7 linked regions of the Cricetulus griseus genome follow. The protein of the gene in region 2 interacts with the protein of the main gene of each other region in a pairwise test. Links are inferred from orthologs where the notes say so. Each region holds a gene or a part of one and is shown on either strand. Other genes may lie near its edges.

Evidence for each region.
Region 1: the proteins of L3mbtl3 (region 2) and Prkaa2 interact in binary tests that used the Homo sapiens proteins (3 or more experiments, as listed by UniProt). The two-hybrid records come from large-scale screens. The link is inferred for Cricetulus griseus from reciprocal best matches to the Homo sapiens genes L3MBTL3 and PRKAA2.
Region 3: the proteins of L3mbtl3 (region 2) and Ttc19 interact in binary tests that used the Homo sapiens proteins (3 or more experiments, as listed by UniProt). The two-hybrid records come from large-scale screens. The link is inferred for Cricetulus griseus from reciprocal best matches to the Homo sapiens genes L3MBTL3 and TTC19.
Region 4: the proteins of L3mbtl3 (region 2) and pleckstrin homology domain-containing family F member 2 interact in binary tests that used the Homo sapiens proteins (3 or more experiments, as listed by UniProt). The two-hybrid records come from large-scale screens. The link is inferred for Cricetulus griseus from reciprocal best matches to the Homo sapiens genes L3MBTL3 and PLEKHF2.
Region 5: the proteins of L3mbtl3 (region 2) and Ngb interact in binary tests that used the Homo sapiens proteins (3 or more experiments, as listed by UniProt). The two-hybrid records come from large-scale screens. The link is inferred for Cricetulus griseus from reciprocal best matches to the Homo sapiens genes L3MBTL3 and NGB.
Region 6: the proteins of L3mbtl3 (region 2) and pleckstrin homology domain-containing family F member 1 interact in binary tests that used the Homo sapiens proteins (3 or more experiments, as listed by UniProt). The two-hybrid records come from large-scale screens. The link is inferred for Cricetulus griseus from reciprocal best matches to the Homo sapiens genes L3MBTL3 and PLEKHF1.
Region 7: the proteins of L3mbtl3 (region 2) and Banp interact in binary tests that used the Homo sapiens proteins (3 or more experiments, as listed by UniProt). The two-hybrid records come from large-scale screens. The link is inferred for Cricetulus griseus from reciprocal best matches to the Homo sapiens genes L3MBTL3 and BANP.

Annotation. Positions count from the first base shown.
Region 1 is NC_048595.1:44,756,433-44,760,396, reverse strand, and holds the start of Prkaa2 (5'-AMP-activated protein kinase catalytic subunit alpha-2), read right to left. Parts: upstream 2,801-3,964; 5' UTR 2,770-2,800; coding exon 2,676-2,769; intron 1-2,675. UniProt on the Homo sapiens protein: Catalytic subunit of AMP-activated protein kinase (AMPK), an energy sensor protein kinase that plays a key role in regulating cellular energy metabolism.
Region 2 is NC_048595.1:245,423,326-245,427,305, reverse strand, and holds the start of L3mbtl3 (lethal(3)malignant brain tumor-like protein 3), read left to right. Parts: upstream 1-1,180; 5' UTR 1,181-1,300; intron 1,301-2,012; exon of another isoform or gene 2,013-2,172; intron 2,173-3,264; exon of another isoform or gene 3,265-3,455; intron 3,456-3,980. UniProt on the Homo sapiens protein: Is a negative regulator of Notch target genes expression, required for RBPJ-mediated transcriptional repression. It recruits KDM1A to Notch-responsive elements and promotes KDM1A-mediated H3K4me demethylation.
Region 3 is NC_048600.1:76,325,106-76,328,605, forward strand, and holds part of Ttc19 (tetratricopeptide repeat protein 19, mitochondrial), read left to right. Parts: intron 1-41; exon of another isoform or gene 42-63; coding exon of another isoform or gene 64-447; exon of another isoform or gene 448-483; intron 484-3,196; coding exon 3,197-3,351; intron 3,352-3,500. Other genes in the region: protein archease-like, read right to left, coding at 64-447. UniProt on the Homo sapiens protein: Required for the preservation of the structural and functional integrity of mitochondrial respiratory complex III by allowing the physiological turnover of the Rieske protein UQCRFS1.
Region 4 is NC_048595.1:125,116,670-125,120,169, reverse strand, and holds part of pleckstrin homology domain-containing family F member 2, read left to right. Parts: intron 1-2,419; 5' UTR 2,420-2,433; coding exon 2,434-3,183; 3' UTR 3,184-3,500. UniProt on the Homo sapiens protein: May play a role in early endosome fusion upstream of RAB5, hence regulating receptor trafficking and fluid-phase transport. Enhances cellular sensitivity to TNF-induced apoptosis.
Region 5 is NC_048598.1:116,694,512-116,698,609, reverse strand, and holds the start of Ngb (neuroglobin), read right to left. Parts: upstream 2,801-4,098; 5' UTR 2,437-2,800; coding exon 2,348-2,436; intron 1,046-2,347; coding exon 934-1,045; intron 294-933; coding exon 162-293; intron 1-161. UniProt on the Homo sapiens protein: Monomeric globin with a bis-histidyl six-coordinate heme-iron atom through which it can bind dioxygen, carbon monoxide and nitric oxide.
Region 6 is NC_048602.1:117,578-121,870, forward strand, and holds the start of pleckstrin homology domain-containing family F member 1, read left to right. Parts: upstream 1-1,493; 5' UTR 1,494-1,712; intron 1,713-1,830; 5' UTR 1,831-1,966; intron 1,967-4,293. UniProt on the Homo sapiens protein: May induce apoptosis through the lysosomal-mitochondrial pathway. Translocates to the lysosome initiating the permeabilization of lysosomal membrane (LMP) and resulting in the release of CTSD and CTSL to the cytoplasm.
Region 7 is NC_048596.1:198,654,727-198,658,226, forward strand, and holds part of Banp (protein BANP), read left to right. Parts: intron 1-2,666; coding exon 2,667-2,792; intron 2,793-3,500. UniProt on the Homo sapiens protein: Controls V(D)J recombination during T-cell development by repressing T-cell receptor (TCR) beta enhancer function. Binds to scaffold/matrix attachment region beta (S/MARbeta), an ATC-rich DNA sequence located upstream of the TCR beta enhancer.

The sequences.
Region 1 (3,964 bases), about 200 Mb from region 2:
TATATATATATATATATTCATTCCTTGGATAAGATAGGAGCGCAAGAGGGCCAACTCCTAGCTGAGAAGCAACTGGCAGTTGACAGCTTGACAGCTGCTCATCTGGCTGGGGATTGGAGGCTAGTTTTCTTCAGATGTGACTCCTGGTAGGTTGCCCATGCTCCAGTGGTTGGCCCTATACCCATGCACAGATTGGCAGCACCATGTGGACTCAGTGAGTTAAAAAAAAGGAGTACATAAACTTGGAATGGAGACGTGGCAGTGTATGATAGGAGTTGAAGGGGAGAGAGTAGGGGGTGTATTTGATTAAAGCACATTGTATATAAGTATGAAATTGTTAAATAAGTAAAAATGTATTTTTAAATGTACATGCTTTGTTTCACCTTGAATTAACTGAACAACTGGAGTTGGACTTACTACAAACCACATGCCCTAGTTTAATTTCTGTCATAAAACACCCTGACTAAAAGCAACTCAGTGGAGAAAGAGAGTATTTTAACTCAAAATTCCAGATGCCATCCATTTCTGGGAAGTCATGGCAAGAACTTGAAGCAGCCACATCCTTAGTCAAGAGCAGAGAGAGAATGCATGCAAGCATGTTTGCTCATGCTCAGTCCTCTCTCCACACTTCTACAGTCCAGGCCCCAAACCCAGAATGGGTGGGTCTTTTCATTTCAATTAATACAACCTAAGCAATTCCCACAGATATGCCCACAAGCTAAGTAATCTAAGTGATCCTTCATCAAGATGACCTTCCGAGAATATGCTACCTTGGGTGAATCGGTTAAAAAAATTAGCTATTGCACCACAGTGTCTCCTTAGGAAGATCAAACAGTGTCAGGAAAACTTCAACCAGTTGCTCATTCCACCAGGGTTCTCCAGGAAAAGGATTTTCCCCATAAATCAAAGGTCCCTTCTGTTAGGTTTGCAGTTTAGGAAGGTGGCGCTTAGAAGCAGAGAGAAAATATGACCTAAATAGATTTAAATTATCCTTTGACAATGGGCTGGACAAACAAAAGCACTTAGCAGAATGTGAAAGAATATAGGGCTAAGCTATATAACTAACCCTAAATGGCAAAGCAACTGTCGCTTAACTGCGCAATGTCTTAACAAAGCAGTTCTCAGCAAAGATGTTGTCAACATCATTCATTAATCTCTGGATCTTCTCCTGTTCTTCCAAGACCCCAACTGATTTTCATCTCAACTTCATAGCCTTCACAAGACTTCAAAGAATTTCACAAACAATTTAGGTCTTTACAAAAATACCCACTCAGGAACACCACGTGTGACCACTTCATTATAATCTGCCAACCTCACAAAACTGCCCTCTGCTCGCCTATTCTCGGGCTTCACACGTGTATTCTGATTGTCCTGGTAGAAAGTAAGCCCCAGGAAAGCTCAGGTTTTGTTCTTTCCTAGAAGTCTGCTGCCTGGAACAGTGCCTCATGTGTGCTAAGAGTTCTCAGTAAGTGTTTTCTCGTTGTACAAATGGGTATAAGATATACCAAGAACAGGGGTCAGTCGTTGAGAAATGACGCGTCTCTCCCTCCTACTTTTAACCCAAGTCTTCACTTGAGGTTAAAATGTAAAATAAACCTCGGCATAACATTTCTAGACTGCTTACCCAACAACATTTATCCAACAACAACAAAAAGCTAATGTTTCACTTTTAATTCTCAACTTGCTACCAAGTATTTTTAACAAGAGCTGTTAAGAGGACAGGTAAGCAAAGCCCATGTGACTCTTATTAACTAATAAGAAAGCAAAGCAAAGTTTAATACTTAACTAGAAAGTACAGTGCGAAATTTCCAAAGCTGCCTGTTTTGTGTGTATTTGTTTTGGCTTTTTTGTTTTGTTGCTACTGTTGTTACTGTTTTCTAAACCCCAATTGCAATCCCTTCACCAAAGACAGCAAACCTCAAGAACACATGCCTAAGCAATCCTGACCTCTTGGGCCCCAAATTCCATCACAAAGGATCGTTTGTTGCGACCCTGACCCCAGAAACCTTTCTCAAACATTTTACACACCAATCAACCTGCAGAGACCGGGGTGGGGGTGGGGGTGGGGGTGCAACCTACTGCATTCCAGCATTTCACACACTCAGCAAAGGAACCCCCCACCTCCTGGCTCTAGGCATGCCCCCCAGTCAACTCCACCATCAAAGTCTGGTACAGGGAGGTATAATAGGGAAGGCAGGGACCTCTCAGCAAGGCCAAAATTGGAGGACATCTTAGACTTCAGACCCTGGATCTGCCAATTCTCTGTGACCTTGGGCGTGTCGCTGGAGCCTTGGGGTTTGCGTTCTCTCACCTTTAAGGTGAAAACCACACCCGGACCGTGCCACATTAAGGAATGACTGAGGTCACAGGTGACGCTCCACGCAGGGCATCTGGCACGAGTGGGAGACTCACTCCCAATCCACGGCGCGGTGTCTCTCCCATCCTCCCCATGCTTCAGGGCCCTTCAGACTGGGCCAGTCGCCCAGTTCTGCAGACAAGCGCTCTGAGGGATAAAGAAGGGACTGGGGACTCGCAGGGACCGCCGAGGCATAGCTCATAACGCGGGCTCCCCCGACCCACGCCCGGGGCTGCTGCGCGAGATGCTGGGGGCTCCCCGGCTCGCCCGCGGGCTCTCCACCTGCCGCCCGGCCCCCCGCCGGCATCGCTGCACTCACTCTTCACTTTGCCGAAGGTGCCGACGCCCAGGGTGTCCCCCAGCACGTAATGCCCGATCTTCACCCTCCCGTCGTGCTTCTGCTTCTCAGCCATGTTCGGCGCACGGCCTCCCTCGGCCGCGGGCCCTCAGCGCCGCCGCCACCGCCGCCGCCGCCGCCTACCCACAGTGCAGCGGGCCCAGGGGGCGGGACGGGGACGCCGGGGGCGCCGGGCGCGGTGGGGCTGGCGAAGCCGGTGGGACGCAGAGCCCAGGCGCCCTGAGGAAAGCCCCAAGGAGTGCAGATGGGAGGGACGAATCTGAGCGCGACAGAGACGGAAGGAGAATCTGCAAAGAAGTGGGGGAGAGGGGGTGTGGACAGTGAGACTTCCCTCGGGGCAGGTGGGGTGGACGCTGGGGTGGGCGGCTCTCCTCTACCCCCCGGGATGCTCCTCCGGTCAAGGCTCGATTGTCTGGGGACGTTCTAGTCTGTACCCTCTCATAACTCACGCTTGTTTTGCAGTTCCTAGTCGTGTTATTGTTGGATCTCAAACCAAGGACAAATGGCTAACTGGGGCGCCTGTTAAATGATCAGAGGTGATGCTGGCCGCCAGGTTGTCCCAGCATCCCTCCATCTCCACCCTACAGTCCTCCTGGCTGGCCTACCCCGCCCCCTACCTTGAACTCTGCAGCCCTGGCTGCCACTTCCCCCAGCTCCTCTGGCCCCCATCTACCTCAGCCATTTTGGCTACATTGGTCCAGGCTCTTCTCTTGCTCTCCCTCCCCCCCCCTTTCTCCTCACGTGGTCCTGCTCAGTATGGCCCTGTTCACTCTGGACCCTCCCAGATGTCTCTGCCTTGCTTCTGCCGTTTTGTCCGCTTTTATTTACAATAAATCTTTCCCACTCTCTTAGGTTTTCTATTGCTGTAGGGGGGGAAATGACCAAAATGCAAGTTAGGGAGCAAAGGGTTTGTTCGCTTTACACTTCCACAACATTGTTCATCATCAAAGTCAGGGCAGGAACCTGAAGGCAGGAGCTGATGCAGAGGCCATGAAGGAGTGCTGCTTACTAGCTTGATTCCCATGGCTTGCTGAGCCTGGTTTTTTTTTTTTTTTTTGGGGGGGGGGGGGGTTTCGAGACAGGGTTTCTCTGTGTAGCTTTGGAGCCTATCCTGGCACTCGCTCTGGAGACCAGGCTGGCCTCGAACTCACAGAGATCAGCCTGCCTCTGCCTCCCGAGTGCTGGGATTAAAGGCATGCGCCTCTAATGCCCGGGGGAGCCTGCTTTTTTATAGAAACCAGGACCACCTG
Region 2 (3,980 bases):
ATTTAAGAGTTTTATTTTCTGAAACGACTTCAAGGAACATTCCTTTAGTGAAAAAAAAATTCAATCAAGAATAATCTTACTTACATTTTAGGGGAAGGGTTTTTAATATGGAATTTCCTTCTGTGATATATTTAAATTCTAGGCCTCAGGCAACAATAGCAGAGAAAGGCCCCTGTACCCTTCATTAGATGCAAAGCAAACAGTACATGCTGGGGGAGGAGCCTTCCTTTACTTCCCCACTGCTTTTCCTCTTCCCTCAGCGAAGTGCTAGGCTTGCCTCACCATCTCAGAAATCGCTTCTTTTTTCCCCTCTTTCCCTTCATAGCCAACTCTACTGTTGGTGTCAACATATTTATCGCAACTTTAAAGACTTCGAATTATTTTGTCTACCCCTAAACCTTGTAGGAAAGGGGGACCGCCAACTCCCCCAAAGCCAGTGTGCAGAAAACTGTCAATATCGAAATACAATACTAGCTTGATCCAGATTTGACGCGCTGACAAAGGCAGGGTTTGCTATTTAGGAGAGCTCAGCCATCTTGACTGAGTACATTAGGCGGGCGGTCCCGTCTTATTACCTAGGCACTTTACCAGGGATTTCTAAGTTGAGGCAGAACTCCCAGCGTCCCTTAGAACAGAGGCCTAACCCAGTGGAGCTGTCAATACAGATAGCATTTAGGATGCGGAACGAACGCGCAAGTTTCGGACTTTTATTATGCATTCTTCCAGTCTCGAAAAGGGCAAATTAAACTCCGTGCACGCTTAGAACTTTATTTCTTAATTTTCTTGACCTGTGGCATGTATTCAGCCCCTGGGTAGCAACGGTGTGAGCCCAGGGCCCACTCTTTAATGGCTGAATGCACACATTTAACCAGCACATGGTGGATTCGCTGCTCTGAGAATTGCCTTAGAAAAAAAGTAAAGTGCAAAAGCAGACAAAGAAATCTATAACCTTCTCAGTCTTTCCCCATTTGTTCGGGCCGTTCTTTGACCCAGCTCGGAAGCAGCAGCGACGAGGATCGCGAAGAGATGCACCTGAACCAGTGTCTGCGGGCGGCTGCCTGGGCCGAGCCGCTCAATCGCTGCTTTCCAGCGGCGAAGGCGCAGCAGCAGTAACAGGGAAGCCAGCGCGAGCCTCCCCGGCGGCGGCGGCGGCGGCGCGGCGGCGGCAGCACCGGCACCAGCGCAGTTTCCCCTCTCCCCAGCCCTGACTCTACGCGCACATGCGCACTGCGCCCGCAGCCCTGGACCATTTGTCAGGACTACTCGTGAGACGGAGAAAAAAAAAAGAGAAAATTTGGGGGTAAGAAGCGGCTGATCGGATCTAATCTCTAATTAATCCGCAGCTCGGCCCGTGCCAGAGCCATTCATTGATTTTTTTCTGGGTGAGGATGAAAGTTCAGAGAGCTAGAGAGGGAAGGAAGCGCACCCTCGTCTTGGGAAAGAGATCAGGGGAGGGGAAGGAGAGAAGGGGTTTCTCCCCCACTTCTCTGCGCCTCTGGGAAAGAGGAGAAAACTTAATCCCGGGGAAAAAAAGTGGGCAAGTGAGTCGGAAGCGGCTGGAGGGGGAGTCTGTGGGCATCTCACTCTGAAGTAGTGAGTGCGAGTGCGAAAGAGGAACAAAAGAGAGAGAAAAGAGAAAGGAAAAAATGGGGGGAGGAGAGACTTGTATTTTTTCCTCCTTTTGCGCGCACACGGGGAAGGGTGTGGGGGGCCGTGCGGAAGGGAGCGGGCCGAGGCGGCCGCGTCTGGCCGTCGCCGGCGCGCAGGCGGCGGGATGCGTGTGGGCCCCCTCCCCCGCGCCCCCCCCCCCGCTCCGAGCTTGTCACTTTGGTCGCTTTTTTGACACCGGGCGCGCGGGCGGCGGTGGGGGGAGCGCGGCGCCGCGGGGCTGCGTGTCCGGGGCGGCGCTGGGGGGGGGGTGGGGGGGGGAACGCGGAGGAGCCGCAGCCTCCCCGGGAGGCGCCGAGAGCGGTCGGGCCCCGAGGCAGGGGGGGGGCTCCGGCTTCGGGAGGGGAACCGTGGGCACGATCGCAGTGGCGACTCGGTGCGGCGGCGGCGGGAGGACGCGAGCCCCGGCGCGCCGCCCCTGCGGCCCCCTCCGCCCGTGTGGCCTTTGTGCCGGGCGCGCACCGGGAGAGCGAGCGAGCGAGCGAGCGAGCGCGAGAAGTCCAAGTACGGGAGACCGAGGCAGTGGGAAAAGAGGCCGCGCCACTTTGCTTTCCCGGCTCGGCTGCGGAGAGAGAACGGACTGGTTGAATGTGGCATCGGCGCGTCTCGCCGGCGCGGCCGTGTGTGTCTGTGTACGTGTGTCTGTGTGTCGGGGTGTGTGTCTGTGTGTCGGGATGTGTGTGTGTGTGAGTGTGTGTGTGTGTGTGTGAGTGTGAGCGCGCGCCGAGAGGCCTCCGCGACTCGCACCGCGCACACGCACCCGCACACGCACGCACACCCGAGCCGCGGCAGGGCCAGCGGCCGAGAGTTTGCGTGTGCTCTCCCGCTCGCCACCTCCCCCGCTCGCCGCCGCCGCCGACGACTGTGGGAGAATTTCCTAGAGATCGCCTCCAATTTCCGCCATTTTGGGAAAGTTGCACGGAAAAAAAAAAAAAAAAGAAATAAAGCCTCCGCTTGATTTTTTTTTTTCTTTTTCCTGCCGGAGGCTGGAAAGTGCTTTTCAAGGAGAGCGCGGCCGGCGGCGCGGGCCCGACACCGGCGTCCCCGCGGGAGGAGGGCGCGGGCCGGGCCCGGCACCCGCGCCGTCGCGGCGGCGTTCTTCTCGGTGCAGCGCCGCCGGTGCGGGCGTGCGAGGCGAGCGAGGCGAGGCGGCGGCTGCGGCGGGGGCCGCGGCGCCTGCAACTTGTTTACGCCGCCCGCGGTGGCCGAGGCCGGCGAGCCGGGTCCGCCTCGCGCGCCGCGTGCGTGCGCCCCGCCGTTCTGCGCTCATGGGCTGCTGGCTGGTCCCGGCTCGCGTCCTGGGCCCGGCGGGGCCGGCCTCGCGCGGCGGCGGCGGCGCGGCGGGGCGGGGGGAAGTAGAGGCCGGCGGGGGTGGGGATCGGGAAGCGCAGGAGCGGAGGCATCCGCCGCGCGCCCCGCCAGCCGCCGACCGGAGGAGGAGGCAAACTTGAGAGAGAGAGAGCGCCGGGCCGAGGGGCGCGCTGGCGGAGGGAAAACTTTAATCGGTTCCTGAGGGTGGAAAAAAAAAAAAAAACCGAACAAACCAAAAAAGACAACAACAAAAAAAAGGGGGGGGGTCTGGGATCCGAACCCCGCGATCGCGGCCCACCGCGCGACCGTGAGAGAAAGTTGACCGGTCGGGCGGCTAGCTCCGCGCCCGGCCCGCGCGAGGCAGAGGTTTCTGTCTGTCCGTCCGTGCTCCGTGATAGCCGGGGTGGGAGATCCAGCCGCACTGCCGGGTCGCGTGGGTCAGGGCTCTTGCCCCACCCTTCCACGGGGACACGAAGGTAAACGTCGCTTTGGTTTCCCTTCTCTGTCCTCCTGCAGCCACCGCCCAGCTTCCTTTTCCTCCTCTTTCCCCGCTGATTTTTCTTCTTTTTTTTTTAGGGGGGGGGACCCGAAAAACGGAGTCTCTTTCCTTATGCAACTTCCTCGGGCGCCGTTTGCACGGCCTTCTCCCCCCCCCCCCCACCCCTTTCTGCTCTGCCCGGCGGCCGCTCCTTTGCCACCTCGGGGCCACTGCCAGAAACATGCATTTGAGATCACCCCAAGTGCCCAGGAACAAAAATACATTTTAAAAAATTGTTCTAAGTTAAGGGAAACTGATCCGAGAAATAAAAGCGTGTGTGTGTGTGTGTGTAAGTATGTGTGTGCTGAATTTTCATTTCGATTTTCGTAGATGGTTGGTTGTGATGTCTTTATTGGTGTGGGGAGCCCAGGAAGCTCTGTACTGGCTACCTCGGTCGCGTGGATTTTTGCGCAAGTTTTTAGAAAAACACTGACTCGAGTAGAGAGCATTTCTCCGGAAAGTT
Region 3 (3,500 bases), on a different chromosome or scaffold from region 2:
TGAGTATGTTATTGTTTTGACTTCTGTTCCCTGAGGATGATGCTTGGACAATGAAAATTCTTCTCACCCAGTTGACCGTAACTTGAAATTTTTTTGATCAATATTAAGTACTTTCACTTCCCAGGGTATGAAGTATTCATCAGCACTGAACTTGTAAAGCCACTCATCCAAAAAGTGGAACAGTAGAGGCTGTAAGTCATCTCCCTGGGTTTCTACTTCTACTGTTTGGAGGGGTTTCACAGTTTTAGTTTCTATCATGTGACCAAACATGGCCATGGCACACTGTTCAAATGCTTCCTCCAGAGTATCTCCCCATGCATACAACTGGACATCAGCTGTATGATCCAAATATTCATACTTTTGATTGGCTGGAAGATACTTGTCCTTGATCGCCTTCTGTTCCTCCATCAAATTGTAATCTCTACCATCTTCCTCTTCTTGAGCCATGATTGCAGACTTCAGGACCCCACATCCCCTCCTTCACATCTTTAAAGCTTTATTATTTAATTTGTTCACTTTTTTTTCTTTTTTCTTTCTTTTTTTTTCAAGACAGAGTTTCTCTGTGACTTTGGAAGCTGTCCTGAAACTAGTAGACGAGGCTGGTCTCGGACTCACAGAGATCTGCCTGCCTTTGCCTCCCGAGTGCTGGGACTAAAGGCATGTGCCACCACTGCCTGGCTAATTTATTCACGTTTAAAAAGATTTATTTAATTTTATATGTATGACTGTCCTGTATTTAAGTAAGTGTACTGTTTGTATGCCTGGTGTCTGGAGAGGCCAGAAAAAAAGCTCCACATTCCTGGGACTGGAGTTATGGCTGGTTGTGAGCCACCATATGGAGGCTAGGAACCAAACCTGGGTCCTCTGCAAGAGCAGCCAGTGCTCTCAACCACTGTGCCCTCTCTTAACCACTGTGCCCTCTCTCCAGTTCTGATTTGCTTTATTTTTAATTGTGTGCATGCATGTGTATGTGTGTACATGTGTGTGATGTATAATTGTGTATGTACACACACACACATACATGTCTGTGTCTAGTTATGTGCATGTGATTTTTTAGGTGCCCTCAGATTCTAGAAGAGGGTATTGATCACTTGGAGCTGGAGTGAGCTGCCCAGTGTGGGTGCTGGGAACTCAGAATGTGTCATGAATGTAAAATGTATTTTTAAAACATTTTTTAGAAAATATTCCAAGCATTTTACCTCATTAGTTGTACTTTCTGCCCCCTCTCCTTTACGTGTAACAGTAATCACTTTGCCCTAGAATTGCTTGTCACTTTGTTCTTTTATTTTTATGGCTTATCATATGCTTGTTTGGTATAGGATTCAGAGCCTTGCACATGCTAGGCAAGTGCCCAGTTCTCTGTCTGGTCTTTTAAAGTTATTTTGATGTATTTTATAGTTGTATGATCTAAAAAGACTATTTAGACAACACAGAAACATTTAAAGAAAGTTTAGCTGGGCATGGTAGGACATGTCTGTAATCCCAGCATTCAGGAGGTTTGCAAGCTGTAGGCCTGTCTCAGGGAAGGAAGGGAGGTGAGGGTGGGAATGGGAGGGTTGCATGTATGGCCATGCCCCAAGTTTTTCTCTTGGGTTCTGGCATTAGAACTCCAGTCTTCATACTTGTCCAGCATACACTCTTAGCTACTGGGCCATCTCTCCAAATCACTCCCTACTTCAGTATATGAGACAAGGTTTCATGACTTCCATGCTAACCTCACTACGTAGCTGAGGGTGACTCTCCTTATTCTCTGACCTCCACTTCCAAGTGCTTGGATTATAGGTGTGTGCTATCAAACCCAGACTGTACTATGCTGGGGATGAACACAGGGCTTCATGGAAAATAGGCAATCTTTCTACCAAAAGAGCTCTATCTAGCCTTGCCCTCAAAAGTTGTTATTGACTTTTGTTTGTTTTTTTGAGACAGGGTTCCTCTGTAGCTTCAAAGGCTGTCCTGGAATTCGCTCTGTAGACCAGGCTGGGCTCAAACCATAGAGATCCACCTGTCTCTGCCTCATGAGTGTTGGGATTAAAGGTGTGCACCACCATTGCCCAGCCTATTATTGACCTTTTATAATTAAGCAAATTATTTTAGATTTGTGCTTTTTAAACTTCATTTTTTTTAACTCTCACTATTTCATTACTCAGATGACTATGCTCATCCACCACAGCTGCATTGTTTTATTTGAACTATCTCTTCAGTAACTGATCATAGTGTTACTTAGTAACATACTATTTTTAACATTTTGTATGCCATTTGTCAATTTCCTGAAAACCTTAGAAGATGGAGAAGGAATGATAGCTCTGCTGGTAAATTTAAGTGAACATCTTCAGGTGCTGTCTGATAGTTTTCATGCCTAAAATTAGCTAATAAGCCAAGACTGGTTGCTCATGCCTGTATCTTTATCCTTGGAAGGCTGAGATAGGATTTATAGAAGTTTGAGGCCAATCTAGGCTATAGGAAAAACACCCATCAAGCAGCCTGTTTCTAGTTCTTTGTGAGCTTGGAATTATTCTCACTCATCATGTCTCCTACATTATTCTGAGGTCTTGTAAAGCTGATACTAGGCCCTGTTTTCTAGATCTGCAGCCTCATGCTCTTCGTGTGGTATCAGAGGTATGAAGTTTGAAGTCAGTTCACAGCCCAGCCCTTATTCTTGGGCAATTGGCTTATGTCCTTTAAATTTGGTTTGAGATTAAATTTGACTTGAGACCATTTCAGAATTCCAAGTATTCTTGGTTTCTTACTGCATTGTTTTCTTATGTAACAGCCCTGGCTGTCCTGGAACTCACTCTGTAGACCAGGCTGGCCTCAGACTAACAGGGATCTACCTGCTTCTGCCTCCTGAGTGCTGGGATTAAAGGTGTGCTCCACCAACCCCAGCTACTTAATCATTTGATTACTAGTTTCCAGTTTTAAAATATTCAATATTTGAATTGATCTGTGAACTCTTTATTCAGAATGGGGGTAGGGTGTTCCATGATTTCAGACAGCCTAATTTGTCTTTTTTTTTTTTTTTTTTTTGTTATTTAATTGGTTCATTCAAACAGTTTCCTGTAGTTAGGAGTTTACCTAAGTGACCGGAGACATTCAGTGGAACCTGGTGGCCACAATGAAGAAGTTGATTGGCTTTTTTTTTTTTTTTTTCACCTTTGTAAATAACTGTTTCATTCTCATGCTTTTATTTCTCTCTTAGTGGAAGAGAAAGCCAATACCTACCTCCTCCTTGGCATGTGCTTAGATTCTTGTGCACGCTACCTGCTCTTCTCCAAGCAGCTATCGCAAGCACAGAGGATGTATGAGAAAGCCCTGCAGATTTGTCAAGAAATACAAGGAGAAAGACACCCACAGGTAAAGGGGGAAAGCGTTTCTGAGGAACAATGCATGTAAGCCAGGCCTGGTGGTACAGGTACTCTGAAGGATGGGCCTTAAGGTCACAGGTTCAAGGCTGCCTGGCCAAGTTAGTGAGATCCCATGTCAAAAGCAGAAAAAGACAAAGG
Region 4 (3,500 bases), about 120 Mb from region 2:
TACTATGCTGAATATTCTGTATGTATTTTCATGCACTGAGTCAAATTTATTTTTCAAAATCTGTTTTATTTGTGTGGGTGGGTAGATCTATGCAAGAAAGTCACAAGTCAGCTCCTTTGGGTCCCTGAGATGGAAGTCAGTTTGTTAGGCTCATTGGCAAGTGTCTTTACCCATTGTGCTGTCTCACTGTTTCAAAGTTTCTTTTGGTTGGATATTGCATTGATGGTTTTACTTGTTTTCTATAAAGTGCAAAGGTACCTGTTGCCCTACACTGTTACACATACTACATCTTAGGCATTTCCTTTTTCTTTTCTTTTTTCTTTTTGTCAATCTGATAAAAGTATCTTAGTATTTTAATGGCTTTAATTATAAATGAGGTTGGGCTTTTCATGTCATTTTAATTCTGTGATTTACTTTTTAGTGTGGGGGTGCACACATGCTTGTAGATACCTTGCTTATCAAGGTGTGCTTGTAGAGATCAGAGGACTTTGGGTGGTAGTCAGTCCTCCTACCTTGTGCACCCTGGGGCTTGAACTCAGGACACCCGGTTTGGTGGCAAGAACCTTTACTCACTGACCCTTCTTTGGCATATTCTTCATAAGTTAGTAGACTTTTTGTTTTCCTTAAGGAGCTGGAGGTGGAGCCCATGCCTTGTGTGGGCTAGGGAAGCACTGTGTCACTGAGTTGTGGTACTAGTCTCAAAAGAGGGAGTGGAGAGAGACAGGGACAGCTGTAGAGGACTGGTCACTTAGTTAAGACCTTCAAGGTTTGAAGCCATTCATTGTCTCCTTCACTGTTGGGAGTACCCTAGGACATGCCAGTGTTCCTCTTGGTGAAAGGGAACAGAGTTTCAGGAATAGTCAGAAGGGTTACAGTATTGTCAGTTGGTGAGTTGAGGACAGCTGTGTTTGTCTTTAAATAGTTCCCTTTCAAACCTTGGTATTCTTCAATGTGTTTGTTAGTGTAGTAGTACTAGGTTAGTGATTGAAATAGAACACCGTTCAGGGACTTGAGAGAGCTCAATATTGGACCTAGAGATTAGATCTATGATCATTAAAGTTGTTAAAAATGTTCTTGTTTATCTTGTACATTTGGTACTTCAGATCATGTCAGTTTAAAGATGGCTATCAGAGGGCCATTCTGGTTTCACTGCAGCCAATGGAGGGCATGGATTTCAGTCCTTTGGTAAAAAGAAAGCTAAGAATTATATAGAATATGACAAACATAGAGGATGGATTTTTGCTGCTGTTAGTATTTCTGATTTTGTCTAGCATAGGAAAATGTACGGGAAGAGAGATGCTAACTAAGATTTAGAAAGCTGAAGTTGTGAATAGTAAGGAAGACAACAGTGAAAGGCACTTATACATTGTAATGTTTTCTTCAAATACTGTGTTTTAGGCAGGGAATGACTTAGGTTGAGGTTGGAGAGAACAAAAACCTGGTAATAGCTGGATGTGGTGACACATGCCTGTCATTCCAGTGCTTAGGGGTCTAGGGTAGAGGGATGGCAAGTGCAGGGCCAACCTGAGGTACATAGTGTGATATCCTGTCTCAAAAACAAAACAATTAAAAACAAAAACCTGGGCTGGAGAGATGGCTCAGCGGTTAAGAGCACTGACTGTTCTTCCGAAGGTCCTGAGTTCAATTCCCAGCAACCACATGGTGGCTCACAACCACCTTGAATGAGATCTGGTGCCCTCTGCTGGCAGCAGGCAGAAGACATAATAAATAAATAAAATAAATCTTTAAAAAAAAAAAAAAACCTACCAGGTAATTAAGGGCCTTACACACTATATGCTAAACTTTATTGTATTAAAGATTAAGGGGAATCGTTTCAAGTAACAACCGGTCAATTTTGCAATGCCTAAGTGTTGGTTTAGAAGGGAAATCTGGAAGCAGGAGAGCATGTTGAGAAACAGTTGGGAATAATCCAGGAAAGGAAATTAGAGCCTCAGCTCAGGGGACACATGCATTTTATTGGGAAAAGAGTGGCCATGTTATTTAAGTGTGTAGGCTTCTGTTCTCCAGCATCCCATTGAGATTCAATTTCATGGAACTGGGTTTATTATTTTGCAGAAGTAACATGTTAATTTTCCTGTTGTTTTTACTTGTGCTGACCATGATGGCACATAGTTGTAGTCTGAGCTTGGGAAGTAGAGGCAGGAGGACTGTGATCTAGGCCACATGTTTCTACAGCCTTTGTAATAGTTGTGTGACTAGGATTGTGTTTTGTGGAGGGGTAGAAGTTTGGATTACTGTAAACAATGAAGATGTAGTATGCTTAGTGATTTGTTTTAGAAGGAAAGAATATTGGAATATTTGCCTTTGGAAAAAGCAATGTCTTAGTAGATTAAATTTTTTTTTCTTGTAGGAATTTATTATTTCTGTGTGTAATTTCTTTTTCTTTTTTTCCCTAAAGGTTATTAGCAAAAAATGGTGGATCGCCTAGCAAACAGTGAAGCAAATACTAGACGAATAAGTATAGTGGAGAACTGTTTTGGAGCCGCTGGTCAACCCTTAACCATCCCTGGACGGGTCCTTATCGGAGAGGGAGTATTGACTAAGCTGTGCAGAAAGAAGCCTAAAGCAAGGCAGTTTTTCCTGTTTAATGATATTCTTGTATACGGCAACATTGTCATCCAGAAGAAAAAATACAACAAACAACACATTATTCCCTTGGAAAATGTCACCATTGATTCCATTAAAGATGAAGGAGAATTACGGAATGGATGGCTTATTAAGACACCAACTAAATCGTTTGCAGTGTATGCTGCCACTGCCACCGAGAAGTCAGAGTGGATGAACCACATAAATAAGTGTGTCACCGATTTACTCTCCAAAAGTGGGAAGACACCGAGTAGTGAGCATGCTGCTGTCTGGGTTCCTGACTCTGAGGCCACTGTGTGTATGCGCTGTCAGAAGGCAAAGTTCACGCCAGTTAATCGGCGGCACCACTGCCGAAAATGTGGCTTTGTTGTTTGTGGTCCCTGCTCTGAAAAGAGATTTCTTCTTCCCAACCAGTCTTCTAAGCCTGTGCGGATATGTGACTTCTGCTATGACCTGCTTTCCACTGGGGACATGTCTTCGGGTCAGCCGACTAGATCAGACTCTTACAGCCAGTCATTGAAGTCTCCTTTAAATGACGTATCTGATGATGATGATGACGATGATAGCAGTGACTAAGGACATGTTTTGAAATATTTAATTGGGTGTGACTACCTGAGAATCAGCTTTGGGAGAAATGTAAAATTCCTAGTTCTCTCAATTTTGCTGTAGCCATGACTTCATCTGAGGAAGTTTTGACCTTTGTGCCTCTGTATCCTATAGAAAGTAGCCCCTCACTCTCTGCTCCTCTCTGCACTCTCACAGGGACAGATATATCTGATAAAGTCTTGGCTTCTGTTCTCCTTAGTTCTAGATTGCTTTCTTGTAAGTTGGAAAAGATGTTTATTTAACATATCTCGTACTACATTTTTTCCACTGATGAGGAAAAACTAAAA
Region 5 (4,098 bases), on a different chromosome or scaffold from region 2:
GTCTGTGTTAGTCACGTGCAGGCAAGTAACTAGAGCAGGCCGTTATTTCTGGTTGTCTGAGGAACTGGAGGTGTGGAGGGAAGCAAATAGACTTTAATTGGGGGGGGGGGGCTGGGAGAGAGTGGTGGCCGTAGCTCTGGAGCTCTGGGGCAAGAAAGTACCTCACTACCCACCGAGAAGGAACTGAGCCTCACTCCCACGGCCCGGTGCTTCCTGCCCAAGCCGGCCAGGTACTCCTCCAGTGAAGACAGGTCCTCCACGTTGGTCACTGCAGCATCAATTACCAGCATCACCTGTCAAGGACACAGAGAGTCCAGCACAAACCTACCTGCTTACCACCACAGCCTAGGACCTAGGCTACTCAACCAAGGAGGCTTTTAGAATGCTGTTGTCCAGAATCAAATGTGGTAGGCAGCCAATGTCTGTATACAGTAGGCGCTCAGTATGTGGTGGCTCGGACTACCGAAATTCCACCCATGAAGCCCTTCTCTTTTGAGGATCTCAGAACCTGTGACATACCTGTAGAACAATACTGCCTGCATGGGACAAGAATAGACTGAGGTGTTGTGGAGATCATGAGCCCAGCCTAGTTTTCATAGGCAGGTAGTTCCCAGTGGTCAAGATCCACCCATACAAGCCACGGGAGCCAGAGGACAAGACTGAGAGCTATGTACCAGGCTGGGTCCAGCTGGCTTGAGGACAGGGTTGGGTCCAATCCAGCGAGGCGGGAATGGTGTGTGTGTGTGTGTGTGTGTGTGTGTGCGTGCGTGCGTGCGTGCGTGCGTGCGTGCGTGCGTGCGTGCGTGCGTGCGTGCGTGCGTGTGTGTGTGTGTGTGTGTGTGTGTGTGTAAGCTGCTTCCTATATCAAGTCCTTTCTTCCCAACCAAGACAATGTTCTACAGATCTGAGCCCTCATAGCTCTGCCTCCCTCACCTTCCTAATGTGGTCCAGGAATTCTGGGGAGGAGAGACAGTCCTCAGGGCTGGAGAACTGGCGGCCATTGTACTGGAAGAGAGGCAGCAGGCTGGGTTCCAGGGTGAAGAGCCTGTGGGTTGGGAGCAGCGGTCATCAGCACTGAGCATCGACCCAGCAGAACCTGACTGCTCAGAAGAAAGCCACGGTACATTCCTAACTGGGCCCTGCCAGCTTAGTCAACGTCCCCTCCAGAGGACACTTGTCCCCAGCCTCTCTCATTACCTGGCAGATGGTAGCTCCTCCCTAAACAACTGAGGGGCTGGGTTTGGGACAGGCAGGAATCTCAAACCAAAATCTAGGGGGAAATTTCCCTTTTGGATCAAAATTCCCCAATGCCCTCAGATCTGAGGCTTGTATGGGTGATGCCATGTACACACTCTATGTACTACTGAGCTTTAAGCATTTGTCAGTTAACTGTGGTTGTGTGTCCCTCATACTTTTAAGCAGTGGGTTCAGAAGAGAAAACAGAAGCTCAGAGAGTCTAAGCAAGCTGCCTAAGTTACACAGTAAAGCCACAGTGGGCACCAGAGTGTGTGTGGTGGTGGTGGTGGAGGGGAGTTGGGGGCAAGATGGGAGGGGGAGTTTGAAAAAAAATACAGTTGGCCCAACCAGAAAATGTCAGCCTCACTGGGAAGAGCTTGCATTTTTGTGTAACTCTTTTGTGTAAATTAATTTATTCCCCTTCCATCTTGGAGAGGTTTTGCCAAAAAGTCTTGCTCCGAAGTTTTGGACTGGCCTAGGGATCTGCGATGAGAGGGGGAGTGCGGCTCTTTGGTGATGGCTTAAAACCAGCCGTTCTCCTCCTGTTAGGCCTGTTCCTTCTCCCTCTCTTACTGGTGGTGAGACTGGACGCCTATCGCCCCTCTCCTGGAGCACCTCTGGTCCTAAGCCTGTGTTGTCCTCAGAAGGGTTCATCTTGCTGGTGGCTGGGTGTGAGCTCTCCTGGGACAGGACGATGTGGCCTCCTACTCGAAGGTGGATGGGTGGGCACGGGAGTCCATCCCACGGATCTAGGTGCCTGCACACCCCAGCTGGCCTTCGGGGGCTCATCTCCTCCTACTGGCCCGGCCCCTGTGGGCAGTCCTGCAGTCACTCCCCATTAAGATATCACAGAGTAGAGCAGGGAGCACTGCATCTACCCGCCTGCTCTGTGGGTGCGGGTGAGGAACCCCACCGGCCCCCAATCAGTTCGGGTGGGAGCCGCTATCTGGGAAGAGCAGATGGGACAGCACCACCTGTCGCTACACACACACCCCTCTCTCCCGGGAGCACCACTGCAAGCGGGCCCGTTTCTCTTCCTCTGGCGACAAGCCCAGCAATCTCAAGCCCACTGCTGCCAGGCACCCCTCCACTCGTGCCCGGTAGCACTCACCTGGAGAACAGGACAGTGCCATGTTCCAGAGGGCTGCGGCTCACCGCCTGCCAGCTCTGCCGGATCAGCTCGGGCTCTGGGAGCTCCATGATCTCTCCGGAGAGATGCGGGAAACCGGGATGGGACCCTCGGGGCTTGGGCGCAATCACCTCACGTGCAGCGCCATCTCCGTGCTGGCGACGCGGGGTGGTGGTGGGGGAGTTCCAGGCCCAGTGCCTTGGTCGGGAGGGGGCCAACAATCGCTCCTTCGCTGGTCCAGCCGAAAGGATGCGCACCCACTGCCGCTTCCGGGGACCCCGCTCGGGCAGCTGCGCCCTGTGCCCCGAAGCTCCCAGAGAACCGCCCTTTAAAGCTACGGTGGTTCCCACCCCCTAGGCTTAGCGCTCCCTCTGTACCCGCCTTAGGCAGGGACGACCCGAGGCCTGGGAATTGTCCAGGCTTCAGAGCCTAAGAGAAATTGTTCAGCCTCTGGGCTTGTTTCACTCTTGAAAGCTAGCAATGCTACTACTTTGCTGGCCTAGTGGCATGTGCATGCAACCTTAGTGTTGAGAGACAGACTGGAGCAGGAAGACAGAGAGGGTGAAACCAGCCTGGGCTACATAGATTGCCTCACTCCCCTTCAATAATAAATAATCCTGTTTCTGAGGGAAGAGGCCGGAGGCCCAGTGTTCAAGGTGAGTTCCACCTCCCCACTGGAAATCTCTTGGGCTTGCCTTCTCCTGGGCTCATGGTCTGTGCTCACAATCCCCGAGTTCAGCTAGCTGGACCCAGGTCACCAAATTGGTCTGTCTGTCTGTCCTCTGCTCAAGCCCTGGGTCTGACTGGGGCACCTGAACAACTTTGGGCCTACAAAGGCTCTCAGTTTAAGGAACAGAGCCAAGTCATAACTATCTCAAGCCAAGAATGGAATCCCTCTCGGGAATAACTGGAAATGCACGGAGTTAAAGTCATAGTCTGTCATTCCACGATCTACTGAAACTCATGACAAAAAACCCAAAACACATGAACAAACCCCCAAACCCTCCAAAACCAAGGGCTTGGAAGATGGTTCAGGGGGCATCTTTGGGTTTGAACCCCAGCACTCAGATTAAAAACAAAATGAAAATGATGGTTCATAGCTTTAATCCCAGCAGTGGGGAGGCAGAATCATGTGGATCTCTGTGACTTGGAGGCCAGTCTGGTCTACATAATGAGTTTTAGGGCAGTCAGGGCTATGTAGAGAGACACTGTCTCAAAGGAAAGAAAAAAAAAGAGGGAGGTAGGAGGGAGAGGCCAGGTGACTGTAATACTAGCACTGAGAAGGTGGAAAACCAGAGTTTCTGGAGCTAGCTAGCCAGTTCAGTGAGCTCCAGGTTCAGTAAGAGACTATCTCAAACAATTAGTTGGGGTGCCTGAGAAAGACACATAAATCAATACTCTTTTCTAAAAGTGGCTAAGCTAAGTCCTGTGCTTGCCATCAGAGTGCTGCTGGCCACCTGTCAGTTAGCAATGTTGTTCTCTTTCAAGCATGGAAGTTCTTTGACCCCAGCCCAGTTTCACTGGTTCAGGTATTGGAGAGCACCCTCCCTTTATCTTTTACTGTTGACTCTAACTGCATCCTCAGATGTGCTGTAAGGGTTTGGGCAGCAAGGTCTTCAGAGTTTTTTGTTGCATGGATATAAATCAGTGTCCTTGGTCTTGGGTTATCAACAGACTGTAGCCCCATGGGCAATCCTGTGCTAGTTGTGCTCAGTCCCATGCCTTCTAAAAGG
Region 6 (4,293 bases), on a different chromosome or scaffold from region 2:
GCATCCCAGAGGCAGGTGGATCTCTATGAGGTCAAGGCCAGCCAGAGCTACCTAATGAGATCCTGTCTCCAAACAAAGGTGGTGGAGGTGGAGAGTCAGGCTTGGTACATATGTGTCATAAGCCCCTAGTCCTTGGTTTGTTTGTTTGTTTCAGACAGTTTTACAATGTATCCTAGGCTGATCTAGAATTTACTAACCTCCTGCCTCGGTCTTCCAAGTGTTGAGATCATACATATGAGCCACAATACTCACTTTAAAAAATTTGTTTTCCCAACATATGTTTTGAACTTTTTATACTGACCCAGAGTTGTAAAAATACAAGCAGAGAAGGCCTGTTTCTGTATAAGCCACAAACTGAGAGTGGTTTGCCCATTTTTGTTTGTTATGTTTTGTTTTGTTTTTTAAGTCAAGGTTTCTCTGTGTAACTCTGCCCTGGAACTCACTCTGTAGCTGGCCTCGAACTCACAAAGATCTGCCTGCCTCTGCCTTCTGAGTGCTGATATTAAAGTCATGCACTACAACACCCACCTTAAAGATTTATGTATAATTTCATGTGTAAAAGTGTTTAACTGAAGTTACAGGCTGCTGTGAGCCATCCAAACCAGGATCCTCTGTGAAAGCAGCAAATGCTCTTAACCTCTAAGCCACTTCTCCAGTCCCCAGCACGTACATTTTTAAGGGGTTAGAATGCAAATACAAAAGAAGGAAGAATGTTTTATAACATTTTAAGAAAGTTATAGGAAATTCAATATCAGTGTGCATATCACCGCTTGTTTCCATGTTTCCCGAGGCTGCTTTCACTCTGCAGGGGTGGTCCCAGACACCCCTTTGCTAAGCCCCAAATACTTACTGTTTGAACCCTTTTTGCAGAAAGTCTGCAAACCCCTGACTCAGATTTACCAGATATTAAATGTCTTTTGTGTGGTTCTGAGATGGAACCCAGGGCTTTGCAGAAAAGCATTACACGGCCAAGACCCTTCTCCAGGTCTTCAAGGATTAAGATTATCTGTTGTTTCTACCCTTAAGTATGTTAGTATGTTAGTGGGGTTTTTTTGTTTTTGGTTTTTTTTGTTTGTTTGTTTTTCTGGGATGGAACCCAGGCCAGGTCCTTTACCCAGCCCTCTGCTTCTTGAGCCAGTCACAGGAAATTGCAGCCTCGGAGTGAGAAGAGACAAGATAATGAAGAGTTAGGTACACTATGCTTAGTGTGTAGACAGAACTCAATAAACAAGGCAATGAAAATTCCAGGCATTTTTTTCACACGGGTTTTGAAAAAAGAAGAAAAGAAACTAGCTTGGGCCTGCTGAGCCTGAGACTTTGCTCACTCCCTGGTTCCTGCAGTCTGGAAACCAGCTTTTCCCAGAAAGGATTTTTAGCCAAAGAGGCAGAAAAGGCCTCCAGGAAACTTCATTTTTTCCACAGCTTATGGCTTGGCTGACTCAACTTCTGCCCTCCCCTGAGTCACAAGTTTGTCCTCTTCCTTGGAGGAGGGTGGGAGCCTTCATTCAGTCTCCCCACCCACAGTCAGGCCTCGATGGGAAGGGGTGGGTAGCTGGATGGTTCCTTTATGCTGCTTCAGGGGATTCCCCACCCTTCCACTCTGCTGGATGAGATCCTGGGGCTAGAAGGAGACAGTTGAGACTGAGTTCTTAGTGGGCCCTGAATCACCGGTGGAACAAAGCTGGAGGCGTTTCCTGGCTCCAGAATCACAGGTAATTCCTTACTCTGGTCTTTTAGACTCCCCTTCTTTAGGCAGCCACTCTGTGCCAGAGTGTGCCGCTGTGTGGGATGCCAAGATGCCATCATAAACAAGACTGCTCTGCCTTCCAGGGACCCACCCTCATCCTAGCCACCTCCGTGTCTCCCTGAAAAGTCCACCCTTTCGAAGGAGGGGAGAGGGGAGACCAGGGGATTGAGGCAGCCATGAAACACGACCTTGCAGACTAAAGACCTCTCCTCATAAGCGGTGCGTGTACTTGGAATGGCATTTTCAGTACCCTACCTGAGTTTCTCGGTGGGACTGGAACCACTGCCTCTGTTGAAAAGCAGACTCGTCACTTGTGCCCACAGGGGAGATGAAAGGGAGCAGAGAGCCCCGCGTGTCTGCCTGCTAACCCCACATGTAGGCTCATCACCCGCGAAAGGCATGCCTATCTAAAAACAAGAGTGATCTAACCGCTTTCATGCCATTCACAAAGGAAGCATCTTACTTTCAACTTTTACAATATCCTGTTCCAAAGCCCCCAAACGTACCGGAAGTTCTGTAGTCACTGGCCCAAACTCGTGGGTTCTGAGAATAGCAAAGCCTCCCATCCGATCAACCCCCACGACAGCCACCTTCAGACAGTGGTCTCTGATGTCCTCACACCACCCCCCAACCCCGCGCCCAAATTCTTCAGCTATTTAAACCTAAAGTTGTATCAGTGCTCCAAAGATAGACTTGGGACGTCACAGAACCCTTTTATCTGTGAATGAAAAAAAAAAAATGAAATGAGGACATGACTCTGCTCGCTGTGGTGGAGGAGGAGTTTATTGCAGGGATGTAGATATTGTAAATATGAGGAGAGGCATAGGCAGAGGCGTCTGGAAAAGTCCAGAGTGAAATGGGAAACGGCCGGCAGGCTGAAATGAGCCGTGTGGGAAGAGGGGCCAAGGGAGATCGGAGAGTCAGAAGCCAAAATGCCAGGAAAGCAGAACAAAGAGCAGTTGCCTAGAGACAGTAGGAAGCCCAGCCCCAGTCCTTGGGCTGGAGAGTTATAGGTGGGGTATGCAAGCCAGGATGACTCTGTAACAGAACCTAAGAAATGCTGGAGAACCTGGCAGCCAGCGTCTGCTTTGAAATGGTAAATAGGCACCCCGGGGTAACCCCTCATCTGGAATTTGAGTTTTTTTTTTTTTTTTAAGATTCATTTATTTGAGGCTTTTGGATTTTTTTAATTAATTTATTTATTATGTGTACAGTATTCAGTCTGCACCCCAGAAGAGGGTGCCAGATCTCACTATAGATGGTTGTGAGCCCCCATGTGGTTACTGGGAATTGAACTCAGGACCTCTGGAAGAGCAGCCAGTCTGCTCTTAACCTCTGAGCCATCTCTCCAGGCCTGGGATTTGAGATTTAACAACCCGTTCTCCCCAATACCCCCTCTTCCTTGCACTCATGTTTCTCACTGATGAATGGGGACTGGTGGGAACTCAGAGCCAGGCTTTGGTCCTAAAACTCTAGTAACAGTTAGAACCTAGCCTGTGGGACTTCAGACACTGTCTTTTTTCCACACGGTGGAGAGTTTGGGTACATCACCAGTCAGAAATCCAACTGGGATATATCCATGGGTAGGGGAGGCCTGGAGTAAAGCCATAGAGTGGTGGTCGGTGGTGAATGGAAGAGCATGAGCCCCCCATGTGACCGGGACGGTGAGCTGTGGAGAAGTAGACCCGTATCCCCAAATCCCCCTGCCTCAGCTTCCTGAGATCACAGGCAGGTGCCACCAGGCCCCCAAGTCTTAGGCTAAAAATCAGAGCTGGCGATACAGCTCATTGACGCTGCACTTATCTAGGATGTGAGGCCTTGAGTTCAAATCCCAGTACTGGTTGGGTGAGGGCATAGAGGGAACTTTTTAAAAGTCTCAAATTTTATGTGAATTCTGCCAATCTGAAATGTTCACAGCGGCGCATTTTGTAAATGTTTAAACAAATTTCAGGCCAAAAAGGCTGGAACTAGCTCCTGTAGACCAGGATGGTCTGGAACTCACAGAGATCCACCTGCCTCCGCCTCCGCCTGCTGGGATTAAAGGTGTGAGCCACCACTGCTCCGCAGGAAATGTTCTTCAAGTGTGGCTACTTAATAAATGCTGACAGGCTGCGGGTGGGGTGGTGAATGACGGCAGGGATTTGGTAGAGACTAAGGGGCCGAAGGCTGGAGACCCAGTTAGGTAAAACTCTTGTCTTTACAACAACCAACCAACCAACGAAATGGGCGAGGTAGAGAACTGGTGCTTTGGGGCCAAGAAGACCTCTCTGAGGAGCTGACATTGAAACGGCGAAGGAGGGGGGAGTGGAACCAGCCCAGGGGTTTTGAGGAACCGGAAGAAGACGGTGGGAGAGTATGTGCGTGGGCGCAGGTGACAGAGGAAGGCCGGCTGGGACCTGAGTTCTGAGTGTGCACCGCAGCTAGGGTGGGCTGTGAGAGGGGAACGTGGGGCCGCTAAACCCAGCGATCTCCTCCCGGGTTTTTGACATTTTCCCCAGGGAAACGTTTGTAAAGTTCGGTCGATCATCAGTAAAAGGCGTGTCATC
Region 7 (3,500 bases), on a different chromosome or scaffold from region 2:
TGTCATGGGAATGTGTGTATGTATGAAAAGTTTGTGGATGGTTGCTGTCTGGGCCAGTCAGTGATTGAATAGTTGTCTTTCTAGCACCTCACTGTTCTAGAGAAAACTACCCTTTGAGGTTGGGAAAAGACCCTTGTTTGGATGAATCAAGTGAGTAAGAGAAACAAGTTGAAGCTTCTTAGGCTTTTCCTGCAGCTGTGGGCCAGGCTGGCCTCACACTAATCAACACGACTCAGTGTCTGCCCCTGGCACAAATGTTTCCCTTTGTTTTACTTTGGTTTTGCTTCCTAATAGATTCTTGGTGGGATTCAGTTTCATATGCAGATACTGCTGAAAGGTCCTGGGGCTTCTTGCATTTATTTTAGGGTTTGCACCAGTTTTGCATTATCTCAGTTGGGTTTTAAGTAGAGCTTCAGAATTGGTAGTGGATGGAGGAAAACCAGATGGTGTGTGCTCCAAAGCACAGTGCTCCCAGGTTCTCTGAGTGCCCCGCTCCAAACTCTTGCCCTCTGCCATTTTTTCATATGTCTGAAAAATTCGCAGTGCTTCAAAAATGTGTTAAGGGAGTTGCTACCAGTGAAGCTGAGACTATAGCACATGCCTGCTTCCTGTCCCTGTCTCTGGCCTGTTAGTACTGTGCTATCCCTTGGGAAGTCCATTGGAGGTCAGCTGCAGGCTAGCTGGAGTTGGCTGCCTGGAGGTGATGGGTCTGGCTATTGGCCTGGGAGCCAGCACTCACTTCACTACTGTCAGACATTTCCACATTCCAGCGCCTGTTTGGAGAACCTGCAGATCAGGGCTCCGTTCCAGATGCAAAGTAGGCAGGAAGAGTGAAGGAACTGAAAGTTCATTATTAGGAGATAAGTGGAAACTTGCCTCTGTGTGCCATACCATGGTGGCCTGCATTGCTGCATTCCTTTTGTAGCCCAGGGCTCATGTCAGCCAGATTATTGCCTACAGCAGCAGAGATTCCTCCAAAAAGACTGAGTAGTTGGTCTTCTTGGGCAGCCAAAATGTGCCCTGGATACCCAACACAAACTCATCTTTGCTATCCTAAAGCTGGGATTTGACTTTAAGGTTTTTATCCACCACCAACTTAACATTAAAGCCAAACCCCAACTTGCATTATTCTCTTGAAGCACTGCCAGGACATGCCAGAGACCAGGATGTGGTTGGCTTAGGGAGTGTATCAGGCCTTCCTGTGCTCACTGCAGTACACCTGCACTACTCTTGCACAGTGCTGTGACAGGTACTCTAAACAAGGCGGAGCACGTGCAGCACATATTTCCATCCAACATTTGTAGTAGATACCTGTTGGGTGCTTGAGTCAGTCACAGAAAGTGTTCTAGTGTTGCTGGGACCTTCCTCAGTCTTGTTTGTAAGGATAGATGCCAGATGTCATCTTCCTTGCCCTGACAGCTATCCTGGGCTATAGTGTTTCAAAGAAGTTCTTGGGGTAAACAGCCCATGCCCACCCAGCTGGCTCTTCCTGTATCAGTCCTCCTCATGGCTGTCCTTTCCCTGGAGTAGCATTTCCCTTGAAACCATACTTGGGTTGTTGTGGTCTCATACAGCTCTGGCTGACCTCCAACTCACTTAAGTAGTTAAGGCTGGCTTTGAACTCCTGATCTCCTGCTTCTCCCTATCAAGTGCTAGGATTATTAGCCATCATGCTGATAATGCTAAAAGGTATTTGTTTTGGTAACTGCCTGGGAGGTGCCTTGGAGCTTTCCCTCTGGTGCTGGAGGCAGGTTCAGGAAGGGCCCACACAGCAGAACATTTGCATGTCTGCTCCTGTTGCTGGAGAAGAACTGGTCACTAGGATGATAAGTCTTGAGTGTGGACCAGAACCATACAGGGACAGGCCCAAGAAGCATGGCCAGAACCGGGCAATTCAGGTATGGCCAGGCATTCCCAGGCAAGTGCCCTCCCTGTGATCATGGTGATGGCACCCTTGACATGAATGTTGATCTTCAAGTTTCTTCTTCACAGAAGCCAGCCAAGATGAGAGCTCACCAGTTCTTCCACACAGTTGAAATGGACTTGGACGGATCCCATAGCCAGGGTCTAGGCCCCACAGCTTTCTCACTGGGAGACAGTTTGCAAACCAGGCCTGGTAGCTCTTGTCTTTGAAAGCTGTAACTTCCTAAGTTTTGTCCAGATGAGAATCTTGCTTCCATTCATTGAATGATTGGTCAAGTTACACCTTTGTCTTAATATTGCAAATTCAGATTTTCTTACAGTCCACCACCTCAGATTTAACCCGCTTCATGTTTCATACAGAAAATGGTTTTATTGGCAATGTTGGCAGGATAGCACTATTGGGGTGCTGAGCAGGGAGGGTGCTGCTTTCTGCACAGGCAGAGCTTTCTGGGAAACAGGTTCCATGATTGCAGAAGTATCCTTAAAAGCAGCTACAGTTACCTTAGACTCATTATGGAGGAATCTTGTTAAAATGTAACATGATTGGGAAATTGTGGTTATGTTACAACTGCTGACTTGGGGTTTCCAAAGGCAGCCTGGCTTCTGAGTTCCCAGGAGATAGCAAACCAGGCAGCCACAGTGTGCCAGCACCTCCCCTTTTTCCTACCTCTTCCCCACAAGGTGGGATCTGTGGCTTGACATGTCACTGCCAAGCCTATAGCCCCCATTCTGATCTCTTCCAGTCGTGGGGCCTGTGCCAGAATCCCATTCCTGTCAGCGGTGACTCAGTGGCCCAGGCTAATCCCTCCCAGCTTTGGCCTCTGGGAGGAGACACACTTGATCTGCCTGCTGGAAATGAGATGATCCAGGTTTGTAAGTGTTTCTTGTCGGGAGATGTGGGTGGCCTGACCAGTGTTTTCCAGGGACCATGAGAAGAAGAGTCAGGTTAGAGCTCTGGACAGCAGGCAGGACCTGATTGCCACACAGGTATCTGGCCTTTTGAGAACCTACAGCAAGTTAGACGATGCCACACATTGTGAGTCCAGGCTTACTTATAGAAGCTGCCACATAACTGCTATTGTCCATGCTGGTTTACCCACAGAGGCCTGAGGATAAGAGCTTGCTTTGGTAGCCAGAAACACCAGACACCATAGGAGTTTAGTAGAGCATTCTAGGGGTTTAGTAGAGCTGATGAGGTGTCTGTGAACAGATGTGTGCCTTATATGTACGTGCATGCATGTGCACATGTATGACCACATGTGTCTGAAGACATACTTGAAACCATTAATGGCATATAAAAGCATATAGTTTGATGACTGGCCAGAAAGACAGATCCATCTGATGAACTCAGAGCCCTCCACCCCACAGAACTTTTTATTCATGGGGGCAGGATCATACTGCTGTTGCAGCAGTTCTGGTATTTGTGTCCTTTCCTTCTGAAGCTGGCTGCTTCTGCTGTTCAAGGAGCACACGGAGCACCCTTTGCCTCTAGCTGGGTTACCCTGGTGGATGACCCAGGGCAGGTCAGGGGAGACAGCCAGGCACAAGTGGGCCATAGGTATAATCCTGTCTGTTTG